7 linked regions of the Oryzias latipes genome follow. The protein of the gene in region 7 interacts with the protein of the main gene of each other region in a pairwise test. Links are inferred from orthologs where the notes say so. Each region holds a gene or a part of one and is shown on either strand. Other genes may lie near its edges. The genes, in order: rbm46, exosc1, tusc2, pogz, pin1, growth factor receptor-bound protein 2 and RNA-binding protein with multiple splicing.

Region 1 (2,925 bases), about 6.8 Mb from region 7:
GACCGTTCATGCTGCAGGTGACAGGGCGTAGCTAAAACGTATACAACACGTTAAGGGTTAATGTTAGAGTGTGGGATAAGGACGCCATACGGCAGCATCACCTGTACGACATAAGTGCGTGTAACTTCCATTATCCTTACGAACTCTTCACGATGCACTTACCACACGCACGACAATGGTACGTTCCGTTGTCATGACAACCTGTGAGGTGTCCGTATGAGCCTCAAGGTAGCTGCAAGACACACACCAGCACTCCGCTGCGACCCTCCACGGACCCAGACAACCGCACAAACCCACATCATAAGTACGGGTCTACAACCTGTGAACCCGGTACAGGTTTGAGCATTTCTCACTGCAGACAGCCGTCTCCACCCGTAAGGCGGCGGAGACTTAAGTTTCACACAAACGCAGTGGGTCAGTTTTGTTGTTCAGGCCCTCAGAATTTCAGTTTGTCGCACAAAACACACAACAGACAAATAAACAAGACCAACAGACAGATGTTATCTTCATCTGCTGAACATTTAATAATCAACACTTCTTTCCATTGGTTATAGATTTTTGAGCATTTTTTAAATACATATGATCACTTTTACCTAGAATATTTACTTTTTGATTTTTTATCTGCTTCAGTCTTTGGGTTTTTAATAAATACGGCTGATTTTCACAGTTATGATTGGGACGTCAATTTGAAAGTTGGACTAAAATTAAAGCAAAGAAAAGTTGTTTGAGAAAAGAAGAAAACAGTTTTTGAAAGCAGAGAACTTCCAACAAACATGTGAGCGATGGATGAACCAAAGCCTCATGAATCATCAAAAGAACTGAACCATCGATAGAAACGCAGAACTCTCATTTGAACTGCAATACAGCATCAAACTCCTCTGTTCAAAAGCCCCTCCTCCTCTGATGATGATGATGATGAAGATGCATCTTAACATTTATGTCAGTAGTGTCTACAGTCTTCTTCAGAAATGAACTAAACAAATTATTTTCAAAATATACGAAGACTTTTTTTTTTAAAAGATTGAATTTACCTTTAAACTCTACCAATCACATGTAAAAATGGGTGTTTAAATTAAAAAAAATAAAAAAATGTCTATTTTTAAAAGCTTTATTTAAACAACTAATCATCATTATTTTTTTATTTGAAAATAAATATGTTTATGGATTTTTGTTTGTCAAAAATCTGCAGATTTTCCCTGAAAACTGAACCCAAGCGGATTTTCTGAGCTCAGGCGGAGCTGCAGGTGAAACCAAAGGAGGAGGAGCTTGTGGAACGGGAGGAACTTTACTTTCTTTTTGAACACAGACATGAGATGAAGGGATGAAGATGGCGTCGAACTTCGTTCATAACTAACAGGAAGCCCCGCCTTTCTTCTTCCTGCAGGTGAACAGAAAGCAGGAGCTTCACCTGAGAGCCGGAGCGGCTCTGACGGGCGGAGGAGGACAAACTCACCGTCAGTAAAACAGAGACTGGGAGTTCATGAAGAGCCTCTGAGGCTGGGGGGAGGAGGAGAAGGTGGGGAAAGGCGAAGGAGGCGGAGGCGGAGGAGACAGGCAGGAGGGAAAGGGCTGGGCGCCGCAGGTCAGGATGCTGGAGCTGGAGTCGGGCAGGGACAGGGTGGAGGAGGAGGAGGAGCTGGGGGACCTGCAGGAGGCTCTGCTAAAGTAGAGGTCTGGAGAGAAGGAGACAAGACAGGAGACGTCTGGAACAAGCCTCCTCCTTCTGACTGTGGAGCACGGTGGAGAGGAGGCGATGGTTTGGGCCTCAGGCTTTGCAGGTCGTGTGAATCTGCAGATTACTTTCAAAATAAAAGCTCATGGTGTCCAGGTGGGGCAGCACAGATTTATAAATCCTGGATGTTCTTGCCGTCGCTCTCCAGGTGCTGCTTTACTTTTCGCTTATCTCCTTCTGCACAGACCTTCTGGAAGAGGCAGCCAGTAGCAGGCTCCCAGGGAGCTGCAGGTAGCTCAGGTTCCGGCTGCATCAGCTTTTTCAGCAGCTCAGCTGCCAATACTGCAAACGGGTCAGAGCAGTGGCTCCGTGACAACATGGTCCTGCGGCGTTCAGGTGACCTAGAATCTGAAGGAGGGCCGTGGCGCCGCTGCGTTCTGAACTTTGCTAATCAAAGTGAGTCAGCTGGAGATCAAGATGGTTCCTCAAACATCTGCTGGAGTTTGTTTACGAGGTCACAGCTTGTTTATGAAAAAAACATCCATCAACTTTTTCTACCGTTAACCGCACATGAAAACTGGACGAGGGACCCCACGCCCTGTGTGTGTCTGTGTGCATGTGTTTGTTTCTTTGTAGAAGTGCATTTGTGTGCGTGCATGCGTGTGTGTGTACCCAGGTTCCAGAGGGCGTTGTGGGCGGCGACCTCCTTGGCGTCTTCCAGCAGCAGACACAGCTTGTCGGGGATGAAGGTCCCCTGCGCAGACGGCATCACCACCTGCACAGACACACAGACGTCATGCTTTCAGAGTGAAGCTGTTCCGGTGGAGGGGTGGGGGTCTGATCAGGAACCAAGGCGGGGAGGACACTGTGTGTGTGTGTTGCTGAGCAGGAGGCTGGGTGTGTGTGTGTGCACGGTGGAGGGGGTGGGTCTCCAGAAGAAGCTCCGGGAACAGAAGAGGAAAGATCAAGCTGAGGAGTTCATGACGAGCGTCTGCACTGACATTTACAGAGACGCACAAAGGTTGCCGCGTCCGCGCCGAGCCACAAAGCATCAGAACACAAAGGCAATGAGAAATGTCAGCAGAACAGTAGCGGGTTGTGTAACCGATCCGTGTGAACACCTTGTAGAGCAGCAGCAGGTTCCCGTCCTGGTCCGGCGTGGAGTACAGGTGGTATTCGGGCGGGGGCCAGCAGTTCCTGCGGCAGTGGTACTCCAGCAGCGTGACGGCCGAGTTGATCTGACTGGGCTTCAG
Region 2 (4,229 bases), on a different chromosome or scaffold from region 7:
GATTTTGAAAGTCTCCCTGTGGTTCAGCAACAGACAGAAAAGATGTCAAACTGTGATGCTAAATGCAACCCAGTTTCAAATGTGGAGCTGCTTTAGACTAGAAGGGAGTCTACAGCTGTGAGTTTAGTTATGATGTTTTTATTTATTTATGATTTTAAAAACATGCAGGAAAACAGCAAAGACAAAGGCAGGAATACTGAATCCATTTACCACATGTATTTTGTCATCATCGCACTTTCTTCTGTTTAAAAAAATAAATTTAATTAATTATCTATGATAATCTATATTTCTAATCTGCAAACAATTCCGCTACCAAACAAGCACCATGAATGTGACAAAGTCCTGGAAAAATCTCCTAATGAGGCTAAAAGTGTAGGTCCCACCTGTGTCAGCCCCCCCTCCTACCTTACAGGTGACGATGGCGCCCACATCTGGCAACAGCTGGACTTCTGTTTCTCTGACCACAGAGATCACAGGTAACTGTAAAACACCACAAACGTGCACGAGAACCAGTGCGGACCAGACTCGTCATCACCCCGTTCCATCCCAAACTTTGATCCCTCTGGATTAGAGGGTGGGTGGAGTCAGGCTAATGGTAAGGCTGGACGATAAATGAACTACAGTTTGTCCCCAAATTTGAAAAAAATTAAAACAAAATACTCTCTCTCTTTAAAGGAAAATCCCCTTAACTACAGACTTGGAAGATGTGTCAACAAGTCAACTCTGCTAGATCCACCCCTCCTCACCTGCTCCCCCTCATTCTTCTTCAGCACGTAGCCTGCAAGAGAGGAGTAGATGTAGCCGTGCCGCAGATACACTCCAGTTCCCAGAATGCAGTCCTCCACGCTGCACAGTTTGTCACCTGAGACACAGATGGTCAGAATGAAGGTGGGGCTTCCTGCCAAACCACAGTAAAACCACAGGATTTACCTGTTTTCTAGAGCAGATTATCTGATCAGGTGTGTTCAATCAATCAGAGCCTGTCATGTGTCTGCCCCCCCCCTCTTGTTTTTCTTTCAATATTGATAATTTTCCATTTGAAATTATTGCAAACTTTGCAATAGTTGCTTCGTTTTTCTCACAGCAGAGGCACAAAGCTCCTTTATACATATGCATATGCAAAACAGCAAACAATAAACAATATTATTTATTACATTGTTGTTTTTGAATTCCAACAAGGAAATAAATATTATAGAGATTTCATAAATAGTATATTGGAAGGGGAGCTAGAGTATATATATATAACTGAATGTTTAGTGAAATAATCTTCAGGCTCTAAGTATGTAAAATACAGCTCAGATTCAAAGGTTCATTTATGAGTCCATTCCATGTGTGTGGAGGGGCATGACATCTGCAATTATACATTTGTTTATTCTGCCATTAGTTTAAATGACAAATATAACATTCAAGATGTATATTGGATCCGATTATTGAAAAGGTTCCTCAGGATGTTCACCTTTTCCTAGTTTAACATTAAATGCTTTGTTGTTTCAATATTTACACTATTAAAAAGACACATTTCCAACTACAGTTTCAATACGTCTTTTCAAAATTGATTAAACAGGTAAATACTGATTAGTATAGGGGTGTCAAACTCATTTTCACTGAGGGCCACATCAGCATAACAGCTGCCCTCAAAGGGCCAGATATAACTTATACATGTAACCAAATGTAATGAAAGATAGACGTAACTACTCCTTAATGTTAAATAACTCATTTATTAAATATAACGTTTTATAGTGACAATTACAGTTGCATAGAAAACATGTTTGCTTGTTAATTTAGCATAAATCCTTCTACATTTTGTCTGCTTATTAAAACCCACGCTCAAACTGTCCAAGTGAAAAAAGAAAAATAACTTAAAACTGAGCTAGAAAGAAGATTAATTACACGTGTAACATTTTACAATAAAAGGCTGCTCACAGCCTTGCATCCAACTGATGGTTTGATGACAACAATTTGTCTGCATACACACACAAGACCGGCAAACATTGTATAATTACAACTGCAGCTACACAAATAATATGTAATCAACTAAAAAAACATTTCATTTTAAGAAATTAAAAACTTTCATGCTCCCGCGGGCCACATAAAATAACACGGAGGGCCACATTTGGCCCCCTGGCCTTAAGTTTGACACAGTAGTGAATGATGATGAACTGTTGTACAAAGACAGCAGGACTTAACTGACTAGAAGCTGTTTCAGACGAACACCACATTTCTGCTGATGCATGACGCAGCTTTCAATAGTCAATATTCTAAAATGTTGTACCCGTCCGAACTTCTGAAGGGGACCACATGGGGCCCCGCTATAACCACGTGATCCTAAGGATCGACTGCATAGTTTTCGGGGGTGGGAAAAGTCACAGTCCTTCACGTGTCGAGCCTTCCCCGCCCCCTCACGTGTCTCGGAGCTCAGAAAATGCGAGCACGCGCCCAAACTAAGTAAGAAAAGGGAAATATAAGCATGCACACAAACGCAAATCTACGAATTTACTACTACCTAAACGATGAGTGCGCAAAGACGAGCTAAATCGCGCGTAGCTATGGCAGCAACATTTACACGTTATACCGCTACGGAGAATTTTACGCCATTTTCTGGCGTCCCAGTGACAGACTCACAAACGGGATTAACAAAAAAACAACACACAAAACCAATAGAAAACCGCTAAAAGCGGTTTTTACGGAGACTTACCTGGAACGCACAGCCTCGTGGGAGACATGTTTGCGGAAGACGCGCACCACTCAATTGGCTCTTTTCACGGGCGCGAGGCGACTCTGATTGGTTAATTCAGAGTGGGAGGGTGTGTCCGAAAGAGGTGCGCATGGGCATGAAACGTGACGGTGTAGCAGTAAACAAATAATTTGGTTAATTTTGTATCGATATATATATATAATTTTATTTGGAAGTAATTTAATATTTTATACAATTTAACAAAAACTTTTTTATTAGAAGTGGGCTGCATAAAAAAGAGCTTTTAAAAACGATTTTTTTCTCGTTTCTAATTAGTCTTTTGGGTTTTGTTGGCAAGTTTAATTTAGAATTATTTCTATAAATGACAAAGTTGTTAATTCTGCTCAAATAAAATGACTTTGTTCTGCGCACAAACGGTAATATTGCAAATGTCAACAACTCTGAACAACAAATTTAATGTCCATTCAAAGTAGAGAATTTGTGACTTAATGAGCAGAGATAATCTGTCAAACTAAGTACTGGTGTTCCCCTTTTTTTGTTTTCTTGCTTTCTTTCTTTTTTTTTCTTCTTTGGGAGGGAGGTCATTTAGTTTGTGTAATGATCATCAGACAAACAGCTTTGGTCAGTCACTACATTCAGTATGGGGCAAGACTTGAAGATCATGTGGTAAACCATGTCATATCAAATTAAATCAAACTTTATTTATAAAATAGTGCTTCTCATGCGTTTGTGCAGCTCGAAGCGCTTTAGCATTAAAAACAGAAAACACACAATATTACAGTAAAAACCCAACCCACCCTTCCCACTCCCCTCTGTTAAAACATATGAACTATGGCCTGGATTGCAGGAAAACCATGCAGAAAGAGATTTAAAAAAAGACCTTTGTGAGTCTACAGCAGAAGTGCATATACAGTGTCTTCATTTTTTATTAAACTCCAGTTTTCTAAACGCCATTCGTGGTATGTAATGCTGTCTCACATGGTATTGGGAAGCACTTTTAGAGTAATCTGTCTCAATGAAAACATGTATAAACCTTTTGACTTGATTGTTCAAAGATGCTGGAGTCATAACTTGTTATTTTGATGACACTGAAACTTTCACTGACATAAATACTTGACTTTGAAGATCAATTCATCCACTTTGATTAAGGGATTTGCTTTTGCAGCTTGAACTACCCATTTTTTAACTACTGACTTCCTTTCCAGAATTTGACTTTCCATTCTGAAAGAGTGACTCGCTTTTGCAGGTTGTGCATCGAGTTTTGCAGTTTGAAAAATCTGTTTTGAGAAATGCCTTAGAAGTGCTGCAAACTTTAATACTGTAGTGAGAAACGTACCAATGCGACTAAGAAATCTGTAGTCCTCCAAATATTAGGGAAAAAATGATATTTCATTTGGCTGGAGCGAGATGTCGTCATTGGGATCGTGTTTGATCTTCTTTTGTGTAGTCCTACTCAAAGGAAAAACCTGATGAGTGAAAATAATAAGAGGGAAATAAAATCAATCTTTACTCCAGTTTTTCTAAAAAAAATAGC
Region 3 (4,007 bases), on a different chromosome or scaffold from region 7:
TAAATAAATAAATAGGGCCCCCCTCCCCGTACCTAGACCCCCATCACTCCTTTCACAATTCCCACCCCTTAAGTGATGGCAAGGACAATGAGAAATAGGTTGAGCACAAAAACAGGATGCTGGAAACGCTGATAAATGGAACCTCGCCCTCTGTGAACAGCCGCATAGACAGCCAAATGCAGCATCACAGGCGGGGACCGCTCCACCACAGCTAAGCAGTGATGCAGGTCCCCATCTAGAGCTGCAGTGGCTGAACAGCCGCCGACCCAGAGGGAGAGGATCCAGCTGAGGAAGCACCGGAAATAAAATTGAATAAAAATGAGAATAAACAAGTAAACATATTGATAAAAACAATAAAACAGTAAAATAAAGTTAATTAAAATAATACGTTAAAAATCAGGTTCAAGTTCATAAAACAAGATAAAATGGATATATAAATAAATAAAATAAAAATAAAAAGTACATATAAATAAATAACTGAATAAATAAATAAATAAAAGTAGTAAAAAATTAGCTAAAAGCCAGGTTAAAAAGATGGGTCTTGAGCCTTTTCTTAAAAGCATCAATGCTCTCTGCGGCTCTCAGGCCCTCTGGCAGACTGTTCCACAAACGGGGGCCATAATGCTGAAATGCAGCCTCTCCATAGGTTTTAGTTTTTACAGTAGGAATGGTCAACAGACCAGTGCCAGAGGATCTCAGGGTCCGCCAGGGTTCATATCTTACTAAAAGATCTGATAAATAAGAAGGCGCAAGACCGTTAAGACATTTAAAAACGGTTAAAAGTATCTTAAAATCAATCCTGAAGCATATGGGGAGCCAATGCAGGGATTTTAAAATTGGGGTGATGTGAGCTCGCCTCCTGGTCTTTGTAAGAACTCGTGCAGCAGAGTTCTGGAGAAGCTGAAGGTTCCTAATACTTTTTGATTTGATGTTTACAAATCGTTCTGATTAGTTCCAGAATTCAATGGAGAATTTACAAAAGTAGAAAAGGTGAAAAACCTTTACATTTATTTATTTATTAGGGAATCATTACAAAAACTACTGTTATTTATTTGAGAATTTCAATACAAACACATTGGTGGGATAAATGTTATGTCGATTTTTTAATGTATTTCTTTAATTTGGTTATGTATAGAAAATTTATCTGGCATGCTTTTTTACCCAATTGATATTATTGAAAAGATTGACAGATAAAACTATCAAATTAATGGCCTACATTTTTATGACGTCACGTCCTCCCTAGGATCAAAACAAACAGCGCTAGTTAAACAGCTGGCTACAAAGTCATGGCTGAACACGGAGGCCAAAAAGGATACAACAAAAAGGTGAAATAATATGAGCTAATATTTTATTTCTGTTTCTATCAGAGTTTATGTTTTGGTAGACCAAAATGTCGAGCGGGAAATCGTTCATTAACGAAAGCTAACCTGAGCATGTCGAAGCTAGCCAGCTTACTGGGTTGTGTTACCCAAACAGAGAGAGGCAGGTATCGTTAGCGACTTATCAGCTATTTAACATGTTACCAACAGTCAAATAGCTGAGATTAATAGTTTAAAAAAGTCAGAATAAATGCTGGTTCTCTTGGCTTTTTTGTTTATGTCAATTAATGTTGAATTTGACTCATAACGTTACTTACTTTTATGACCCAGATAGCGTTTGTTTGAGCTAAAAGATTCCATCTGCTCAGAAGAAAAAATATATGATTAGTCTCACCCGTTTTGAGTTAATACGTACAAGATGAAACTATTGATTACGTAGTAAATCATCTAGAAAATTCTATAGCGGTCCATGTTAGCACGCGACGGTTAAGCGCTAGCTAAGAAGAAAGGCCAATAATTCTCTTTTTTGCAGCCAAACGAAAAGGAATTCATCCAATTCTTTTCCTGAACTGTCCACACTTTAGGTCCTCGACTGTGCAGACATTTGAGCTGAACCGCGGTACCAAACTGACCGAAAGCTTCTTGAGGAGATCAACGATGCCTTATGTCTGAGAATGGGAGGAAGTGGGTCCAAAGTTAAAGGTGTCTGGCCTTTCTCAGGCAATTCAAGTGATTCAGGCAGTGATGGAAACGAACAGTCTCTGGCCCGCCTAAAGGGTTCCAGGAATGCAACACCATATGTTTTCACAAGAAGGAGGTAACTCTTAAACAGCAGCAAACATGGGACTCTTTAATGCTGGACTATTTCTCTGTGGGGAAAAAGGCTTATTGGAAAAAGGACATTGCATCATTTAAAAAGCTTGTTAATTACTTAAGATATCTGTGCCTCATTTATAAGTAACACACATTTGTTGTGTAGGCTAAAATATGGTTTGTGCCAAAATAAATGTCCTAAATTTTCTGTTAACACAATGTGTCTAATATATTTTTTTTAATCAGAATTTGTCTCAAGGGAACCAACAGGAACCACTTTGATCCCGTGTAGTTATTGAGGTGCACTTCCGGATTGTTTTCAGGCTTTTCCTTTAAATTTTGAAAATATCTCCGGGAGGGGAAAAAAATCCTCATCATTCTACATTGAAATTGTTTCAGTCTCTTTCAATAAGAAGGATGCCGCACCCCAACACTGCCTCCTTTTAAAAACATATATAAGTGCTTAAACCAGCAGAGCATTTTTTGTGTCTTTTCTGCACTTTGCTTTGAGGATGCAACTACTTTATGAAAATCTGAACTCGGAGCACAACGATCAGATACCTGGTTGGGTAAAAAACAAGAATTCTCAGCAAAATAGTTGGTTCAGCAAAAGGCAGAAAAAATGTGGCAATTCATTTTTTTTTAAAAGTTAAACAACTTTTTCTTTTTTTTTGTCCAAATGTAATGTTGGGCTGGGCAATAAATCCATTTTATTGATTAATTTAAATTTTCCTTTTAAGATTTGTTTTTGGAAAATCAGGATTTTCGAAAAAATCTGCTAGCAAAGAGGAGCTTGTTTCTGCTGTTCTATGGAAATTGTTCCCTTTTGTGACTTCAGATTTGGAGCAACGCTGCAAATCCTGTTTGAAGGCTGTTGTTACCAAAAGTGGGAGTACGATAAATTCATTTCAACCCCTGAAACAGAGAGCAGTTCTGCTCTCTACAGCAGCAGCTCTCAAAACAACTGCCAGATTGTTTTACAAACTTTTTGTTTTAGCTTTTATTTAGTTGCACTTTGAATTCAGTTTAACTCCCAAAGGAGATGTTAAAATAAAAGACTGTTTGTTTCAAAAATATATTCTTTTATTTTGTAATTTTTGTCAAAAAAAGTAAAGGGAGGAAGAGAAGAAAAAAAACAAGTAAATTCCTAAATCAAGTCTGGTTCTAATCTAAAATATCTGAGATTTTATTTTTGGCTTAATGGCCCAGCCCTAATCTGATGCAATTTTAAAGGGAAATAAATTGGATCAGGCATAAATTGTTGAGAAAAAAAGATCTGTAAAATATGAAAAACATATTTAAATAATTAGCTTAGAGAACAGAAAAGGTTTGGCTTTTTTGTAATTAATTGAAAAAAAGAAGAATTTCCACAGTTAAATTCTTAAACCTCATACATGACCTGACATGACAATTAGAGTCTAATGTTTATCTTCCGTTTTGACAGTTCTTTGTACTATGACGAGGACGGCGATCTAGCTCATGAGTTCTACGAGGAGACAGTGGTGACCAAAAATGGCAGAAAAAGATCCAAGTTGAAGAGAATACAGAAAAACCTGATTCCACAGGTGAGCTGGGAACACTCGGGTATGGTTTGGGAATGTTTGATGAGAACATTTTGAACATGAAAACTGTTTTTCCTTTCCTCTCTATGTAGGGAATTGTGAAGCTTGACCATCCTTGTATTCATGTGGATTTCCCCATTGTCCTCTGTGAGGTGTAAGGAATTGTCCAGGACTGAAGTGAGATGATATGCTGTCGGTCACAATTAAAACTACATTTATTGAGATGTTTTTCTTTTAAAACTGAAAATCTGGCCCCAAATACTGAGGAGAGCGTGGAGCTGTCATGTTAAACTTAAATGACAGAAATTCTACA
Region 4 (2,710 bases), on a different chromosome or scaffold from region 7:
CGCAGAAAAAAAACTGAAATAGAGAATTCGTCCAATTAACACCAATCGGCGGCTCTTATTCTGAAAATCAGTGCTGGGACCATCGGTTATTATTCTGAAGGAATTCACAGGATTGATCCTCGTCTCTAAAGAGATTTAAATACCTTCCCATCGAGCATCTTCCAGATGGTCCCCCTCATCCTTTGGGGGGGTGGGGGGGTCAATGTATTGCTTCTGAGCATGCTGGGAAAGTGACTTTGTTCTCATGGCTGCTATATTTAAGTGTCAGCGGGGATGTTGGATGCAGACAAGGTCAGAGGTCAACGTGTGTTGGGTTTATACATCAGCTTCTGCAGGCTACGCCGACCCCAATCTGCAGATTACGTTTTAATTTTGAAATTCCAGCTGACGTGGATAAACCTCCTTCGTGTTTCCAGTTTAATCTGTTTTTTATAACTCTGTATGGAAATCAGAATATAGAAGCTGACGATGAATTTTGCAGTAAATACAACAAACTTAAGTCACTGTTGTTGTTTTTTTATTATTAATTTGCTACAAAAGACCCCAAACGCTTTATGATTCCCAAAAATAAGCTGTACATATAGAAAAGAGTAACTGCCAGGTCCCGCCCTGGAACAGTGAGAAGAAAAACATCACCTCTAAAGATTTAAATTGGATAATGTCAGTTCTGAACGTCTTGTTTAGAGATATTAATTCATGAAATTAGCAGCTTCGTTCAGAGTCCTTTGGAATTTCATCTTTTGAATGTTTGTAGAGACTAACAGGCTCCTCAGCAGCAGGTCCAGGCTCATCGGTATTTCAAAATAAAAGCCTGACGCAGCCTCAGCAGTCTGGGAAACCAGGAAATGACTCTTCATCACTGTCCCCATCAAACACCTGCCGTAGATGTGAAGGGCTTCTGATGCAAAGCTCCTCCTCTTCCTCATTTTCTCTCATTTCAGGAGCCTCTTTTTCACGTTGATCCGTCTTCGTCTCCTTCACCTGCGACGGTGTCACTTTCGGTTCTGCCTTTTCGGCCTCGGGGGGCTGGTTCAGGGCTTCGCTCAGAGCCGTGATCATCCTGGCCGCCTCCCCCGGAGCCTCCGAGTGGTCCAGGCTGCAGGTCAAACTGAAGGATCTGAGGGGTCGGAAACAGAGCAACGTGACGTCATTACGGAGGCCCCAGAGGGACGAACGCCGCGGTCACACAGCAGGGGCCCGAACGGAAAATGTCGTCTGTTTGTTTCAAAGCTCACAGATGAGAAAATAAACAAAGAGGAAGTCCATCTATAAATGAGCAGAACGCACATGAAGACTAGCAAGAGTCTGCCGTTATGATGCGGATCACGACACAATCCATATAACAGGACTGTAACAGAGACAATAAAATCACAAATTTTAAAAGAGCAAAACTATCTGAATGCTAATACACTTTTCCATGAATAAAATTAAAAAACATTTTAGTTAACATGTAAGCCCCAGGTGCTTTTATTTTGGTAAGTTAAGATATTCAGTTTTTCAACACTGTCTGGTTTCTACAACAAACTATTTTTCAGTCTGTCAAAAAAACAACAACACAAACTTAACAGTAATTTAATCAATAAGGTTAAATAGGTATGGGTTAAGAAAATAAAGGGCTATTGATTTCAAAGCACTGAACCTTACGAATGTGACAAAAGCTGGTGGATGAAATCATCATAGAAACAATGAAAAAAATCTCAAATTTCTGCTCAAATTAGGGATGGGTACCGTTTGGGTTTTAGCCGGTGCTAAATGGGGACTTTTAAAACAGTTCTGGTGCTTAAATGAACCTGTGCTCCAAAAGTAAAAAACAAATTTTTTTTAAAACACGCCAATTTTCTCCAAAGACGCTTACGTGTGACAAAACAGCGCATCATGGGAAAGGAGAGCGATTGAATCTGCCTCAGATACTTTACTTCCTTCTTTCTGACAGTCTGCACTGCAGCACCGCTTTTCCGTTTTCACAAAGGTGGGTTTCGTCGCCACGGCAACTGCCTTTTATCAGATGATAGAACACGTAACTCTTGTCCATCAGGTGGCTATATTAGAATCTTTTATTGTGAAATACAGATGAACTCTCACTCAATGAATGGCTAGAATAGTACAGAAACACTAAATAGTGACCGACCCGTCCCAAACGAAGTAGCAGAATCCACGTTTTTATACGGTACCAGTGGTTTGGTATGGGTCGGTCCCAACTTGGCAGAGTTCTGGTACCCATCATCACTGATTAAACTGAGTTGTTGGTGTCTAATTGAGCTTTATAACAACAACAACTGTGAGACTAATGAGTGAACGTCTGCTTTACTTTAGGTGGAACACAAAGTAAGACATTGAAACTGCATGTTTGCTCATGAATACTGAAATTAAAATCCTTTTGGCAGCATTTGAAATCAATATCACTATTGCCAAATAAATAGCAATATATCACAGAATTGCTGGGTTTAGGAAATCTCACTTGTGCAAAATCTTTTTCTTGGAGTTCAGGGTGAAGGAAGCCTCGCTGACCCAGCAGGCCAGCATCAGAGCCAGCTGGTCCAGTCCCAGACCGTCCAGCCCTCCTTCTGCGACGAGCTGGTTCCATCGAGCCTGTAAGCAATCACCAAACAAGACAGAGGGCGTTGATGAGTCTGAAGGGTGGGCGGGGTCAGACGCAGGTGGGAGGCAGTACCATCAGGTGATCTCGCAGGACTTGTGCCACGCAGACGTC
Region 5 (4,113 bases), on a different chromosome or scaffold from region 7:
ATTATCTTTTTTTTTTAATCAGGTGGGTGATGAGGTTTGAGTTAAATGTAGATCATGAATGCAAACATGCAGACGTAAGCCAACTTAGACTAAATTGGGTATTTTAGGAAGACTAAAACTAAATTGCATGTTTTCTAATACGTATAATATAAGCATTATGTGTAATTTCTCTTCAGTTTGGCATTTGTGGGTTGATTCAACAGAAAAGACAACCCGTGCCAGAGTAAGTGATAAGAATTGTCCTGGCAAATGCAACAAAGCAATGTTGAGAGACCAACAAATAGACAGAGTAAAAAAGTTTATGAGGCTTTTGCTGGAGAGGAAACCTTATAAACAGAGTTAATTATTAAGCATTTTTTAACTAAAATTAGAAAGCATTTTTACTTAAAAAACTGTAAATATTAGGACAATACTACCTTATAACTACATAAAAGCTGAAGAACTAAAACTAAGAAAACCCAATATTCCCATTATGATGTTGGTACCTCTGGCAAACAGTCCCAGATCTCCACCGTTCTTAGCTGAGCTGCAGTCGCTGAACTGAGAGGCTAGAGATTCAAAAGACTCATGCCCAGATTTGATTTCGTCTATGTACTCTAGAAAACAGAACCAAAAAAAAGACAGATTAAGTAGAGATTTGAAACAGATCTGGTGTTTCTGTCCTCTGCCTTACTTACTCTGAATAAGCTCTATAGCCTCTTCTTTAGTTCGTGTTATATTTTGTTCCCTCCAGGAAGAAGGACGTCGAGACTGATTATGTTTTACTAGGAGGTGGGAGCATCGCACCTGAGAGAGAGAAAGGAGGAAACACAAAAAGATACACAATACATCATCACCTATTTGTTAGAAAGTGTTATAAAATGTTTCTGTGCAGGGGTGTAATGACTAATTGACCTGATCAATCAATCGATTTATATTCCTACGATCCAAGCAGAACAATCTGTCTGAGGCATTTGTTAATTGAATCGATCTATTACATTATAAAACTGTTTCAAATTAAAATAAATATATTATTTCCATATCGGGAAATACCATTTGGCTTAAGGGACGGTTTACTTTACTATAACATAATAACAACCAAGTGTTAGTTAGATTGAACCAATATTGACCATAAAATCGTACTGGAAACCACAAGTGATCATATGAATTAGACCTGCACAACAAAACGCAAATGTATCATTATCGCAATTTCAAGCTGTGCAATTCGCATATTGCAAAAGTCGTCAAAAATAGCAATAAATGTTTACTTTAAATGTGCTAAAACAAATATTGGAGTATTTAACGAATCAAATAAATTGACCAATCAGATGGGGCTCTTTTATTTATTTATTTTGAAGCTTTTCTTAGGTTAGACGTTCGCCTCCTATGTAGACGAGGGTCATTTGGAGTATAATTTAAGTTATGTTGACTCTTATTTAAATTAAACTGTTGCAGTAAAATGGAAATGATGTTTTTAGTCGTTTTGCTATTTGTTCATGAATGTTTTATCGTCGTCGCAATATTGATCACTAATATGGCGAGTTTTCCTCATATGGTGCAGCCCTAATATGAATGTCATTAAAACTAATCATTACCGGTACATCACTATCACAAGCTCTACAAATACTTCTTTAGTGAATTTATTATGATTTCAATCCTAAATGTATTGCTAATAAAACACACAAAATGAAGTCCACCTTATCTGGCTCTCCACGGCCATCTCCCACAGGACGTTCCCACTGGCTGGCATTAGTGATGTGGTTAAAGTAGTACACCTTGCCTACAAACAGCAAAGAAAGCAGTTTGATCAGCACCTTTGGAATGATCCAAGACATTAGAAGACACAAAAATCAAATTACAGTTTACATGACCTTACCCACTAAAACTGCAAAAGCACTCACAATTCCCCGTATCGGTATTATTGTTGTTTCATAGTAGTTGGTCATGAAGTTGCATGGTTTTGAATAAAACCAATGCATCAACTGCTGACAGTGTTCAATTTAGTTTATAGGTCTGCAAAAAGCTGTTCCTTTGCAATCCTTCCTTTTTACTCCATTGAAAAGAAACACACAAATAAAACAGAAAAAAAAACACCTAAAGTTTTTACAAGGCAATCATCTACCCAAACAGATTTTCTGTAAAAGAAGAAGAGAAATCAGATAAACAGACGTATCTGCAGAAATAAATCACATTTTGGGGGGGATCTGAAAGTTTAGTAGATTTCTCAAAGTTAAATAATTACCTATATATGAAAAAAATGTAAAGTGATCTTGTTTACAAAATATTCCCCAAATTGTCAGTTTTACTGTGCGTATATATTCACAAAATACTTTCAAGACATCAGGTCTAAGCTGCGTCTGCGCAAATTCCAGGTGACGTCATGCAACGGCGGCCCTGCAGAACATCTCCATTAGAAAAAAAAGTGGGGGAAAAGCTAGTTATAAAGCAAACCGTAGCATAACCGTATTTTCCCAGCGGCACTTTTCCTGATAGAAACCGTGTCGGTAACCCCGATGCATGCATTAGCAGGACAGCCTCACCTGAAACAAGTTCACAAAGCCTCGCTTACCACGATGCACGGGCTAGCTATAAGCTAAATCAACTTCTCGTGGGCTGCAGTTGAGCTCATACATTCAGCCTCCCCCGTCTTATGTATATTTACCTGAACTACGGCTCATTCTTTTCTCCCATCCCGACGGTAAATTCTCCTCGTCTGCCATGTTATCTGCTGCAACGTTATCAAGTTAGAATTCAACGTTCAAACGATGCGACACGGCTACGGCTCAGCAGGTACGACAGTCGGTTTACGGCAAAAGTTGTTTTCTGAGTTTGGCCCGCCCCCAAACGGCTTGTCCGTCCTACTATTGGTCTTCAACTCTTGTCAATCATATTTCTTACTATCTAATTGGTTAAGAGGACAATAACACGCGACATCGATTCTACGGTGATGAGCACCGAGAGCTTTCCAGAAGGTTTCAACTAGTGAAGAAAATCCATCAATCTTGGGCTACATTTAACGTATGTTTTACACTTTTTGATCTTTTTAACACGTCTGGCAACATTTTTGAAACCTTAAGTTGATCTTAATAGGCGCCATCTAATTTATGTTTTATATATTTAAAAGAGTTGTGTGCACAAGCTAACGGGTTAGCTAAAAAAATCATGGCTGGTCGAATTTCATCGTCAATTTAGTTTCTGCTGTTGACGCAAAATGAATTACACATTCTTTTGACTTAATGTTAGTGGTGTGAACGATTAATGTCGTTCCTGTTCATAACTCCAATATTTCAGCTTACTAGCTCCTCTTTTTTTCACAGTACACGATGATTGAGGTGATTTGCAACGATCGTCTTGGGAAGAAAGTCCGGGTCAAGTGCAAGTATCCTTCTGAACACATTTGATTTGCTGATCTGCTAAAGATGTTTTGGCTGTTAATACTGCACTGCAACATGCTGGTTCTGATTAGTTAAGGGGGGGGGGGGTTACTGTGCTATGGTCCATCCATAGCACAGTAACCGTGCTATGGATGGACCCTTTCCTTATGAACCCATTTGGGGTTCATTAGAATAACCATTTGGGCCTACATTAGAATAACCAGGTAACCTATGAATCATGTATTTTCGACTGTGGGAGGAAGCCGGAGTGCATGGGGTTTCTCTGCAACAAGCAAACTCCACACAGAAGGGTCCCAGCAGGGTTTGGAACCAGGGCCTTCCCCATTGCACCATCATGCAGCTCTATTTAAAATCTAAAGACTGAAAACATTCAGGACATGAAAGCTGGAAGTGTTTGTTTTGAAGGGTTTTCCACGTCACCAAATTGCTCCTCAACATCCTTGCACAGCTCAGAGGACACAATTGGAGACCTGAAGAAACTAATTGCAGCACAGACGGGAACAAGATATGACAAAATTGTACTAAAGAAATGGTAACTTTGCCTTCCTTTGCCTTTTTCTTCTTTGCATCACAATGAACATTGCCCTTTTTGGCTTCTTTACTTAGAAAATGTGTTCTTGTTTTAATAGGTACACCATCTTCAAGGATCACGTGTCTCTCGGTGACTGTATCCTTTTGACGCACTGACTTGACCTTTACTAAGCTGATGCAGAAAGGACCGATTTGCCCTCTAATTTCT
Region 6 (3,995 bases), on a different chromosome or scaffold from region 7:
TCCAAAGTTATATCAATTTGTTCAGTTCTAGCCATGAATGCATGCATTACATTTTCTCAGTCAAAAAATGTGCAAGTAATAGGTAAACGCCTCTCTCTGAGCTAGCCACGCCGTTCAAAATCTACAACTTCTAATTGCAACATCTTCTCCACAACTGCTTTCGAATGATGGCCGAGAAGTTAGGAAAGGATCGATCAAAATCCCTAGGACAGGTTTTCCTTTGTATCTGGTCCTAAAGGTGCTTTAAAAAAAAAAATTCAAGATGGCTGCCTTTTTCCAAGGTGAAAGGTTGGCAAAATTCCAGGGGTTATGGTAGACTTGAGATAGTAGTATGTTCGTAAAATCACGTCAAAATCGCTCTAAATAAAGTTCATTTTCCCATATTGTGGGAACAAAAAGTACAAAATGGCCATCGTGTTGCCATCCCATAATGATTTCAAAACTTCTTTTGGATATCCCCGACAAGTGTAAATTGGTGTTGTTAGTGAATTGTAACTTTTCTTTCCCCGAATTTCATTTTTCAGCTGAGTCAGCGAATTTATTTGCAACATTTTTTTATTTACCACGTCCAAAGTTTTAACACTGTCATATCGCATGTTACATTTTTGCGTTCAGCTTGAGTCAAAGAATTCCTGGACACCCTTTTCAAGACATTCCGGAAAAAAAATGTGCGAGCTAAGATCGCAACAGTTGCAAACCCACCACGCCCACGCCGGTCAAAATCTACAACTTCTAATTCCAACATTTTTGGAATACAAGCCTTTATCAGCTTGTATCGTAAACACATCAGATGATTGAACCATCTCATTTACATATCTTTGCATCTCCCAGCTGTAGTGAGGTGCAAAGCAAAACATTTTTATGAGTCTACCATGAGCTGACGCGTGTTTTTATTTCTTCACTGCAAACAGTCCAACATTGTGAGGCATTGTTTTAACGGCTGGCCTGCACACACACCTGCACGGCTTCCTCCCAGCCTTGGCTTTGCCTCACCTGTCTTGCGCGCACAGATAAGTGGGTATTTGTCTTGTGGTATTGAGTAACTGAGCGAAGGGCGGATGTGAGGTATCCACCTGCAGCTGCAGCACAAAGAGAGCGGTTTGGAGATTCAGGTCAGGCACTTTCAGACTTTGCTGCATGCTGGTGTTGCAGAGTGCAGCTCAGGAGGCGTTTAGCCCGATGCTCTGTGCTGCTGGATCTCTGGAGGCAAATGAAGTTTCCCTTTGCAGGACGTCCTGGCCGAACAAGTGAGAACAAGCCATGCTGAGGTTTACGAGAGCGCGAACAGATGTGAAGGACACGCACCAACCAAACAACGTGTCGCCAACACTTTGGCATCTCAGGAAAAACACCACAAGATCAAACGTGTCATCACAGATGATTCTAGAGCAGGGGTCTGCAACCTGTGGCTCCTGAGGCACATGTGGCAATTCCTCTGTGGCTCTCAAATATCTGCAAAGTAAACTGTAAGTAAGAAGTTAAGTTAAAAAACAAACAAACAGACAGTTGAAAGATTTCAACGGATTAAATGTTTTTAAAAAATACGGTGAGAGTCACTTCACTTGTTCTGGTTTATTTTTTGGTTTGTTTGACAAATTTCTGACTGAGATGCACCACAAGCGGTAAAATTAACACTTTAAAAAACACTAATGCTGCTGAGATGAACCTAAACGATACAGGGTGTATTTTATTTTGAAAGGAAGTCATGTGACCCTCTGAAATTAGTACATTTTCTCTGTATGTTTTATTTATGCCATAAAACAACAGTTTGTTTATATTTATAAAAACAGTAACATAAGGTCAGTGTGTCAATTTTCTAAAGGGTGAATCCAGACTTTGTGGCTTCTTTAGGTTGTAGTTGGGAGCAGCAGTTATTTTTATTTATTTATGTATTTTATCCGTATTTTTCTGAACTGTTTTAAGCTGGTGACAGGAAGATGTCTGTCTATGTTTGAACTGTTTTCTGAAAAATATTTACTTGTAGCTTTATTTAAAAAAAAAACAAAACAAAACAGTGTATTGACTGTTTTTTTAACAATTTCTCGTCTGTTTTTGGGGAGGAAGAGACGCTGTTTGCCCTTCCAGGACGAATGAGTAAATTTGCATGAGTAAATATACTCTGAAGAACATTTACTATCCGCAGCTCCTGCTGTTTCCTTTTATCTGCTTTAAAAAATGGCAAACCTAGAGACGAGAAAAGAAAAACCTAACAAGTGAAGTTGAACAGTTGCCAAGATTAACAAATCAGACTAAATAATTATTAACTCTGAATGACTAACTAATCAAAAAATTCAATTTTATGAAGACAGCAGCTTTTTTTATTGTAGGAACTCATTTAAATGTTTGAAAAATATTGTTTTATTTTGAAATAAACATTTGTAGAAAAAATATTTTAAAAAAGCAAATTCTGTTTTAAAATGCATTTCATATTTGAAAACTAAAATATATAAATGAAAAGTAATATTTTTGCCTTGATACATGCGAGTGGCATAAATGACGTGTAGGTGGCGCTGTTCAGAAACCCCAGTCTGTCTTTTATTTTGGAAGGTTCCAGGAAGCGGCGCGAATTACTTTGTAGAAGAGCGGCTGTGCTCACGCGGGGACTTGTCAAATTAAGCCGCGCTGTCAGGGAGCGCACGCGCCTCGTTTGTTGGCTTCGGATGCTGCGCTGCGGACGCCGCTAACTTCTCGGGTGTGCTGCGGTCTGACCCGCGGAGGGAGCCGGTGTCGGGTTCGGAGCAGTGTCCGGAGAGGTGAGCAGAACAAAACCGAACCGCGGTCTTTCTGTCATCTGTGTGCCCAAACGCCACATTTAAGAGTGTTTTTAAACCGCACGCGGACTACTTTATTTTGAAGAGCACCTTCGGTGACGGAGAGTGGCGGAGGTTCTCTGAGTTTAAACAGAAATGCCAGCAGCAGCGGCTGCCCGCGCTTGAATGTAAATGTTGTTCCCCTCAGTTTGGGGAAGTAGTGCTGTGAAATAGTGTTTAACAAAAAGAAGAAAAAAAAAAAAGAAAAAACGCGCGCGGACGCCTTTTGGGTCGCACCTTTGACACGTTCAGCCCGATGTGGGCCAGGTGTGAGATCGGGAACCTAACCTAACCCGACCCAACCCGGGCTGGAGCATCAGCTGATGGAGAGAAACCTGAGCAAAGTTAACACAGATGAACTCCACAGCTGAATGGCGTGTACCTGTCTGTCTGACACACCTGTCTCACCACCATCTCCGCGTGCGTGGAGGAAGTGTTTAAGGGGGGTTAAGAAAACTCCAAGTTAATAAATCTCTTCTACAATACTATGTAGTCACTTTCAAATTGTAATGGATTACTTCGTTCTAAAGTAATCCATTTCTCTTTCTGAATGTGGTACACAAATACTACATTGAGATTACTTTACTACAGAAGTATTTGATCAAATCTGAGGTGACAAATCTAAAATATTTGTCATTTTTAAGCCTCAGCATAAAGAAGTACTCTAGAAGTTTATTTTATTAAGTGTAGCAAGAATACTGTGGAGTATGTAGTGTAGAAAGCAAACTAAATACTACTTCAGATTAAATTGGAACATTAAAAGTAAACTTTACAGAACATTGCCTCGCTTTTAGTAATACTTGTAGTACTCTTAACGTGTAGTTAATACAAATACAGTTGATTTACTTAAGAGTAAACAGAAAAAGTGCTGCAGCTTTGAATGTGAGCTCTGTCAAATACAGAAACCACAGGCAAAAGTTTTTTTTTCATCCTTGAACGCCTCGCTCTCTCACCACATCGAACAACCATCAGTTCCTTAAGAAACTCTAATTACTGGACATTTAACGAGTAAAATATTAATGAATAGGATTAATAAGTATTGAACAAGTTTGTAACAACACAAACGAAGGAGTTGCTGTACTTTTTGTTATTCCCAACAGCCTCACTGCCAGTTTCAGTGTTCATCTATTTTTAAAAACAGGATTTCTGCCGACAGTCGAGAAGCAAACATAGCCGCGATTACAG
Region 7 (4,129 bases):
TGAGGGGAGGTGGCATGAGGACCGTTGAGGCCGTTGTTTGGCATGAGAGTCACACAAACAACCAGACTGTTAAACTTTGGCTCATCATAAGGTTAGTTTATTGATACGTAGGTGCAGTAAAGCAGAAAGCTGTTAAGCATTTAGTGCCTGCAGTGAAACTGGAAGGGGGTTCTGCATTTTAATGTGTAAAATGAGGCCGTTTGAGAAAGCTCCACACCAGCTTAATGCCTGGATGAATCAAGGAGGGGGGGGAAAAGGCGCATTTACGTGTGCAGAACTGGGTTCGGCTTCACTTCCAAGCCCCCAACCTTGCCGCTACTCTTGCATGCAACACACATCATTACACCCAAGATAAAGTGGGGGCTGTCTAACCTTACGCTAATCCATTCAAGTGAATTTAAGTCCTCGCTCGTCTGGATGGCGTCCAAAATGCTTCCACATTAGATTCCTCTGGCCATTACTCTCCCCGTCTCTCTTACGAAAAAAAAAAAAAAGCAACTCGAGACAACTCACGTCCGGTGAGTCCGCTTGAGTACTACTTTTCCAGCCGGACGCAGGTCGAGAGAATCATTTTTCTACTCGCGTCAGGACTGTTGGGTCTCTTTGATGTCCAACGTCACAAAAACACTGCCGATTTAGCATAGGTTCAAAAGAGGAAATCTAACCTGAGAAAACCTCCATTTGAAAGAGGGAAAACATGAAACCTGGGCCCCTTTAGGATAAATCATTCAAGTACAGTTTTCTCTATTCCAACAGAAGCTCTAGACCCCCTTTGTTTTAGCAATCCAGAGGTTATCGGATGGGCCAAAACTAACTATCGATTGCTTAAGTCGTTTGTTAACCAAAAACACACAAACCTTTTTTGCCCCATTGATAAAAAGTGATCTTTATTACTATTTGTCCAGTAAAAAAAAAAGAACAACCCAGAGCTCTTCTAAATAAAAATACACTTTTTTTTAAAGGGTTTCGGGAACTCTTGAGGGTACAGAGACCTCTGTCACAAAAACACTAATGAATAGGTTCAAAAGGTGAAATCTAACCTGAGAAAAGCTACATAAGTAAGAGAAAAAACAAACTTGGAACACTTTGGGACAGATGACTCAATATTTTCCAACAGAAGCTCAGGACACCTCTTGTTTTTAGGTATTGGGAGGTTATCTTATTGACAAAAGCCAGGTATTGATTCATTAAGTAGTTTATTACCTAAAAACACACAAGCGTATCTTTGTCCCATTGATAAAAAGTAATCTTTATTACTATTTGTCCAGAAAGAAGAAAAAAAACCTGAGCTCTACCACATAAAAATGCATTTTTTTCAGGGTTTCGTTAACTCTATGGGGGTACACAGACTCCACAGTAACCAACAAAACACAGTCTTACATCAGTTCGAGTGTGTTGGGTTATTATCAGTCAGTGAGTAACATTCTGCTGAGTTTTAATCAAATTACTCCAAGAGAAATAATCTGATCTACCTTCCTCCCTTCCCTCGGGTGCAGAGGCGGGTTCTGAAACAACAAAGAGCTCGTGCAAATCGGTTCCAAAACCGAACCAAAAAGACGCGGATGGACTCGAACCAAGGTCAAGAAACCGAGCGTTTATCTTCTGACAAATACACGTTAGTGTGTTGTGTTTAGATCCAGATGCGGGACGAGGCTCCTGTTGTTTGACTGTGAGGTAGGATTACATAGAGTCATTGCCTACATGTTGCAGCATTAGTTGTTTGAACTTCAATGCCTTGCTCATCTTCAGTGAGAACTAAGTCTCCCTGACTGCATGGCTTTTCAGTAAACTGTAGCCCACAACCTGCCTTCAAATTAAGAAACAGTCATGTTTTAATGAGTAAAGCAATTATTGCATTAAAGAAGGGGCCGATCTCAAAATGAAATGCATTTTTTTTAACATTTTCACCCATAAACCAATTTTCTTTGGTCACAAAAACCTGTTTTCACCCAAATTGCAGTTAAAACTGAACCAGGACGAAACTTTCGTTTATAAAATTTTACATTATAACTAAAAAAAAAGCTGTTTTTCATGAAAAAAAAAATCCACTTTATAGAGGGAAAATGGGTATAAACGTACATTTATTGATTGAAAAACGTTATGTTTCAGCCCAATAACAAAAGAGAAATAAAAAAAAAATAAAAAAAAGGTTAAAAAAAAAAAAGAAAATATAAGGGAATGACTGACATCTAACTTTAATGAAACCATAAGGATGTTAAGGTCAAACATCTGGATGTGACAACTTTTAGTAGGATAAACTCGACTCTAATTGACTCGGGTTCACCTTAACAGGTAGAACGCGGGTGGCCGGGAAGGCTAAAGCGGCTACACCGCCTAACAAGTAGTTCTGGCGTCTGATTTAAGGTGGAACCGCGTACCTCCTCTTCGTGGTTGGTGAATTCAGTCGTCTCGTTCTCCTTCTCGGTTTTGTTGTTGTTCATCCTGAGCCGCACTCGTGTCGCTCTCGCTCGGGACGGTCGTCTTCTGGTCTCGGTCTCTCCTCCTCGGCTCCTTCGTTGGATTCGACAGGACAGGCAGTCCGCGCGCGCGCCCGCTGTCCCACTGACCCGAGCTTCCTTCACTTTTAGTTTTGCCACATGAATCCCACTAAATGCCACCCCCCGTTCCTTCCTTCTTCCTGCCTGCCTCGTGTCTTTACCACTCAAAGCGGGGTGAGGTGAGCCTGCGGGCGGGTATTCCTCAGCATTCCCTGGAAACCAGAAGCCCCTGTCTCCTCAACAGTCAATGCTCGCTGGACCGAGCCGCAGGCAAACTTCTCTCCCCATCTCCGCGCGCGCGAGGGAGGGGTTTAGGGTGGGGTAAGGAGTGGGATGCGCCGCAGCCCGATCAAGATTTATCAAGTAGCCTCGTGGAGGGAGAGCTTCAGTGGAAAATCAGTATCAGTCAACTTTAGGACCAGCTGCGTGTTATTTTAGTCCCGGCAACATTCCTGAGATAGTCTTTCAATGTGCTGGCTTATTTATTTTATCAGGGACAATAGGTTGAGTTTCTTTTTTTTGTTGTTGTTGCTCCAAAGAAATGTATGAAATATTTCTACATTATCAATAAAGAAATTTTCAATTTTAGAATAATTGTGTCAACCGTGTAAAGCTTGTCGTCCTGGTTATCTTGTTCGATTATTATTTTCAGATAATCAGTATTATGCTATACATTTTTGAGAATTTTAAAAATTCAAATCGTTGTGAATCAGGAGATGAAGATCGTATTTGTGATGTCAGAAATACGCTGGGTGGGCGGCTCCGTTCTGACGCATCCCTTGTAGACGACTAAATCCATGTACGTCTTGGTATGGTTGTATAGCTGTAACACTGCTTGCCATTTTTCTTGCACTGCTAATGTCAGGTTGGGGGTGTGAGGGGCTTGTAAGGTAGTGGGAGAGAGTGTAAACAGAGAGCTCTCAACAACGGGGAGGGTAAGGGGGAGCGGGGTTGCTCCATGCCAGCAGTCCCGCCCACATGTCAGAGGGGAATTTCTAATGAACTACTGCCGCTTTGCAGAAACTATGACCAAGAAACCAACACAGGTTTTTTGGTTTTGGAAAACGGTACAATCATAATTAAAAGACCACTGGAAACGCTTTAAAAAGAGCTCAAAAGATGAGCGGATGGGTCTTTCAACCCTTTAACATCGGAGATTTCGCTGGCAACAGCTGAACAACACACGCCCTTTGATAAGGGCGAATCCCAATTCTTCCCCTACCCCTACGGCTTCTCCCTACCCTTCCAATTGTAGGGGCTTTTGGAGGGATAGGGTTGTCCGAAATAGTTTTTTAATGGCTAACCCATGGCTGCGGAGGGATGTCGAGCCCTAAGTAATGACTTTTTCCTTTAGCCTGACGTTTTACATGTTGTTAGGTATTTCCGAGCACCAGCTGCTCCGTGCTAACGTAGCTGACCAGCGACTGTTCATGATGTTATTGAATGGGAGTAACGTCCGAATTTGAAGGCATTATGTTTCTATAACTCTCCGTCTGGGGGACTAAATGTAGGGGTAGGGGAAGAATCTGGATTTGGCCTAACTCTATGATCGTTTACCAAACCAATGGGAATCAGCTAAATCTGACATGGAGAAAAACAGCTTTTCTTTTGGGCTTTGCACAAACATGCAA

Evidence for each region.
Region 1: the proteins of RNA-binding protein with multiple splicing (region 7) and rbm46 interact in a two-hybrid assay, tested with the Homo sapiens proteins (2 studies listed by BioGRID and IntAct). The two-hybrid records come from large-scale screens. The link is inferred for Oryzias latipes from reciprocal best matches to the Homo sapiens genes RBPMS and RBM46.
Region 2: the proteins of RNA-binding protein with multiple splicing (region 7) and exosc1 interact in a two-hybrid assay, tested with the Homo sapiens proteins (2 studies listed by BioGRID). The link is inferred for Oryzias latipes from reciprocal best matches to the Homo sapiens genes RBPMS and EXOSC1.
Region 3: the proteins of RNA-binding protein with multiple splicing (region 7) and tusc2 interact in binary tests that used the Homo sapiens proteins (3 or more experiments, as listed by UniProt). The link is inferred for Oryzias latipes from reciprocal best matches to the Homo sapiens genes RBPMS and TUSC2.
Region 4: the proteins of RNA-binding protein with multiple splicing (region 7) and pogz interact in binary tests that used the Homo sapiens proteins (3 or more experiments, as listed by UniProt). The two-hybrid records come from large-scale screens. The link is inferred for Oryzias latipes from reciprocal best matches to the Homo sapiens genes RBPMS and POGZ.
Region 5: the proteins of RNA-binding protein with multiple splicing (region 7) and pin1 interact in binary tests that used the Homo sapiens proteins (3 or more experiments, as listed by UniProt). The two-hybrid records come from large-scale screens. The link is inferred for Oryzias latipes from reciprocal best matches to the Homo sapiens genes RBPMS and PIN1.
Region 6: the proteins of RNA-binding protein with multiple splicing (region 7) and growth factor receptor-bound protein 2 interact in a two-hybrid assay, tested with the Homo sapiens proteins (2 studies listed by BioGRID and IntAct). The two-hybrid records come from large-scale screens. The link is inferred for Oryzias latipes from reciprocal best matches to the Homo sapiens genes RBPMS and GRAP2.

The regions. Positions count from the first base shown.
Region 1 is NC_019876.2:1,243,565-1,246,489, reverse strand, and holds the end of rbm46 (probable RNA-binding protein 46), read right to left. Parts: coding exon 2,794-2,925; intron 2,448-2,793; coding exon 2,345-2,447; intron 1,674-2,344; coding exon 1,456-1,673; 3' UTR 1,454-1,455; intron 1,379-1,453; 3' UTR 501-1,378; downstream 1-500. UniProt on the Homo sapiens protein: Essential for male and female fertility, playing a crucial role in regulating germ cell development by ensuring the proper progression of meiosis prophase I.
Region 2 is NC_019859.2:28,378,096-28,382,324, reverse strand, and holds the start of exosc1 (exosome complex component CSL4), read right to left. Parts: upstream 2,801-4,229; 5' UTR 2,724-2,800; coding exon 2,696-2,723; intron 863-2,695; coding exon 747-862; intron 481-746; coding exon 406-480; intron 1-405. UniProt on the Homo sapiens protein: Non-catalytic component of the RNA exosome complex which has 3'->5' exoribonuclease activity and participates in a multitude of cellular RNA processing and degradation events.
Region 3 is NC_019863.2:8,091,158-8,095,164, reverse strand, and holds the start of tusc2 (tumor suppressor candidate 2), read left to right. Parts: upstream 1-1,207; 5' UTR 1,208-1,325; intron 1,326-1,903; 5' UTR 1,904-1,993; coding exon 1,994-2,136; intron 2,137-3,576; coding exon 3,577-3,697; intron 3,698-3,786; coding exon 3,787-3,852; 3' UTR 3,853-4,007. UniProt on the Homo sapiens protein: May function as a tumor suppressor, inhibiting colony formation, causing G1 arrest and ultimately inducing apoptosis in homozygous 3p21.3 120-kb region-deficient cells.
Region 4 is NC_019869.2:4,553,673-4,556,382, reverse strand, and holds the end of pogz (pogo transposable element with ZNF domain), read right to left. Parts: coding exon 2,672-2,710; intron 2,590-2,671; coding exon 2,459-2,589; intron 1,448-2,458; exon of another isoform or gene 1,118-1,447; coding exon 823-1,117; 3' UTR 501-822; downstream 1-500. UniProt on the Homo sapiens protein: Plays a role in mitotic cell cycle progression and is involved in kinetochore assembly and mitotic sister chromatid cohesion.
Region 5 is NC_019859.2:22,494,304-22,498,416, forward strand, and holds the start of pin1 (peptidyl-prolyl cis-trans isomerase NIMA-interacting 1), read right to left. Parts: upstream 2,801-4,113; 5' UTR 2,770-2,800; coding exon of another isoform or gene 2,745-2,769; 5' UTR 2,700-2,744; coding exon 2,642-2,699; intron 1,760-2,641; coding exon 1,677-1,759; intron 787-1,676; coding exon 678-786; intron 597-677; coding exon 486-596; intron 1-485. Other genes in the region: ubl5 (ubiquitin-like protein 5), read left to right, coding at 2,745-2,769, 2,894-2,997, 3,297-3,358, 3,823-3,906, 4,004-4,041. UniProt on the Homo sapiens protein: Peptidyl-prolyl cis/trans isomerase (PPIase) that binds to and isomerizes specific phosphorylated Ser/Thr-Pro (pSer/Thr-Pro) motifs.
Region 6 is NC_019866.2:2,919,979-2,923,973, forward strand, and holds the start of growth factor receptor-bound protein 2, read left to right. Parts: upstream 1-1,195; 5' UTR 1,196-1,466; intron 1,467-2,545; exon of another isoform or gene 2,546-2,753; intron 2,754-3,995. UniProt on the Homo sapiens protein: Interacts with SLP-76 to regulate NF-AT activation. Binds to tyrosine-phosphorylated shc.
Region 7 is NC_019876.2:8,063,188-8,067,316, reverse strand, and holds the start of RNA-binding protein with multiple splicing, read right to left. Parts: upstream 2,801-4,129; 5' UTR 2,442-2,800; coding exon 2,379-2,441; intron 1-2,378.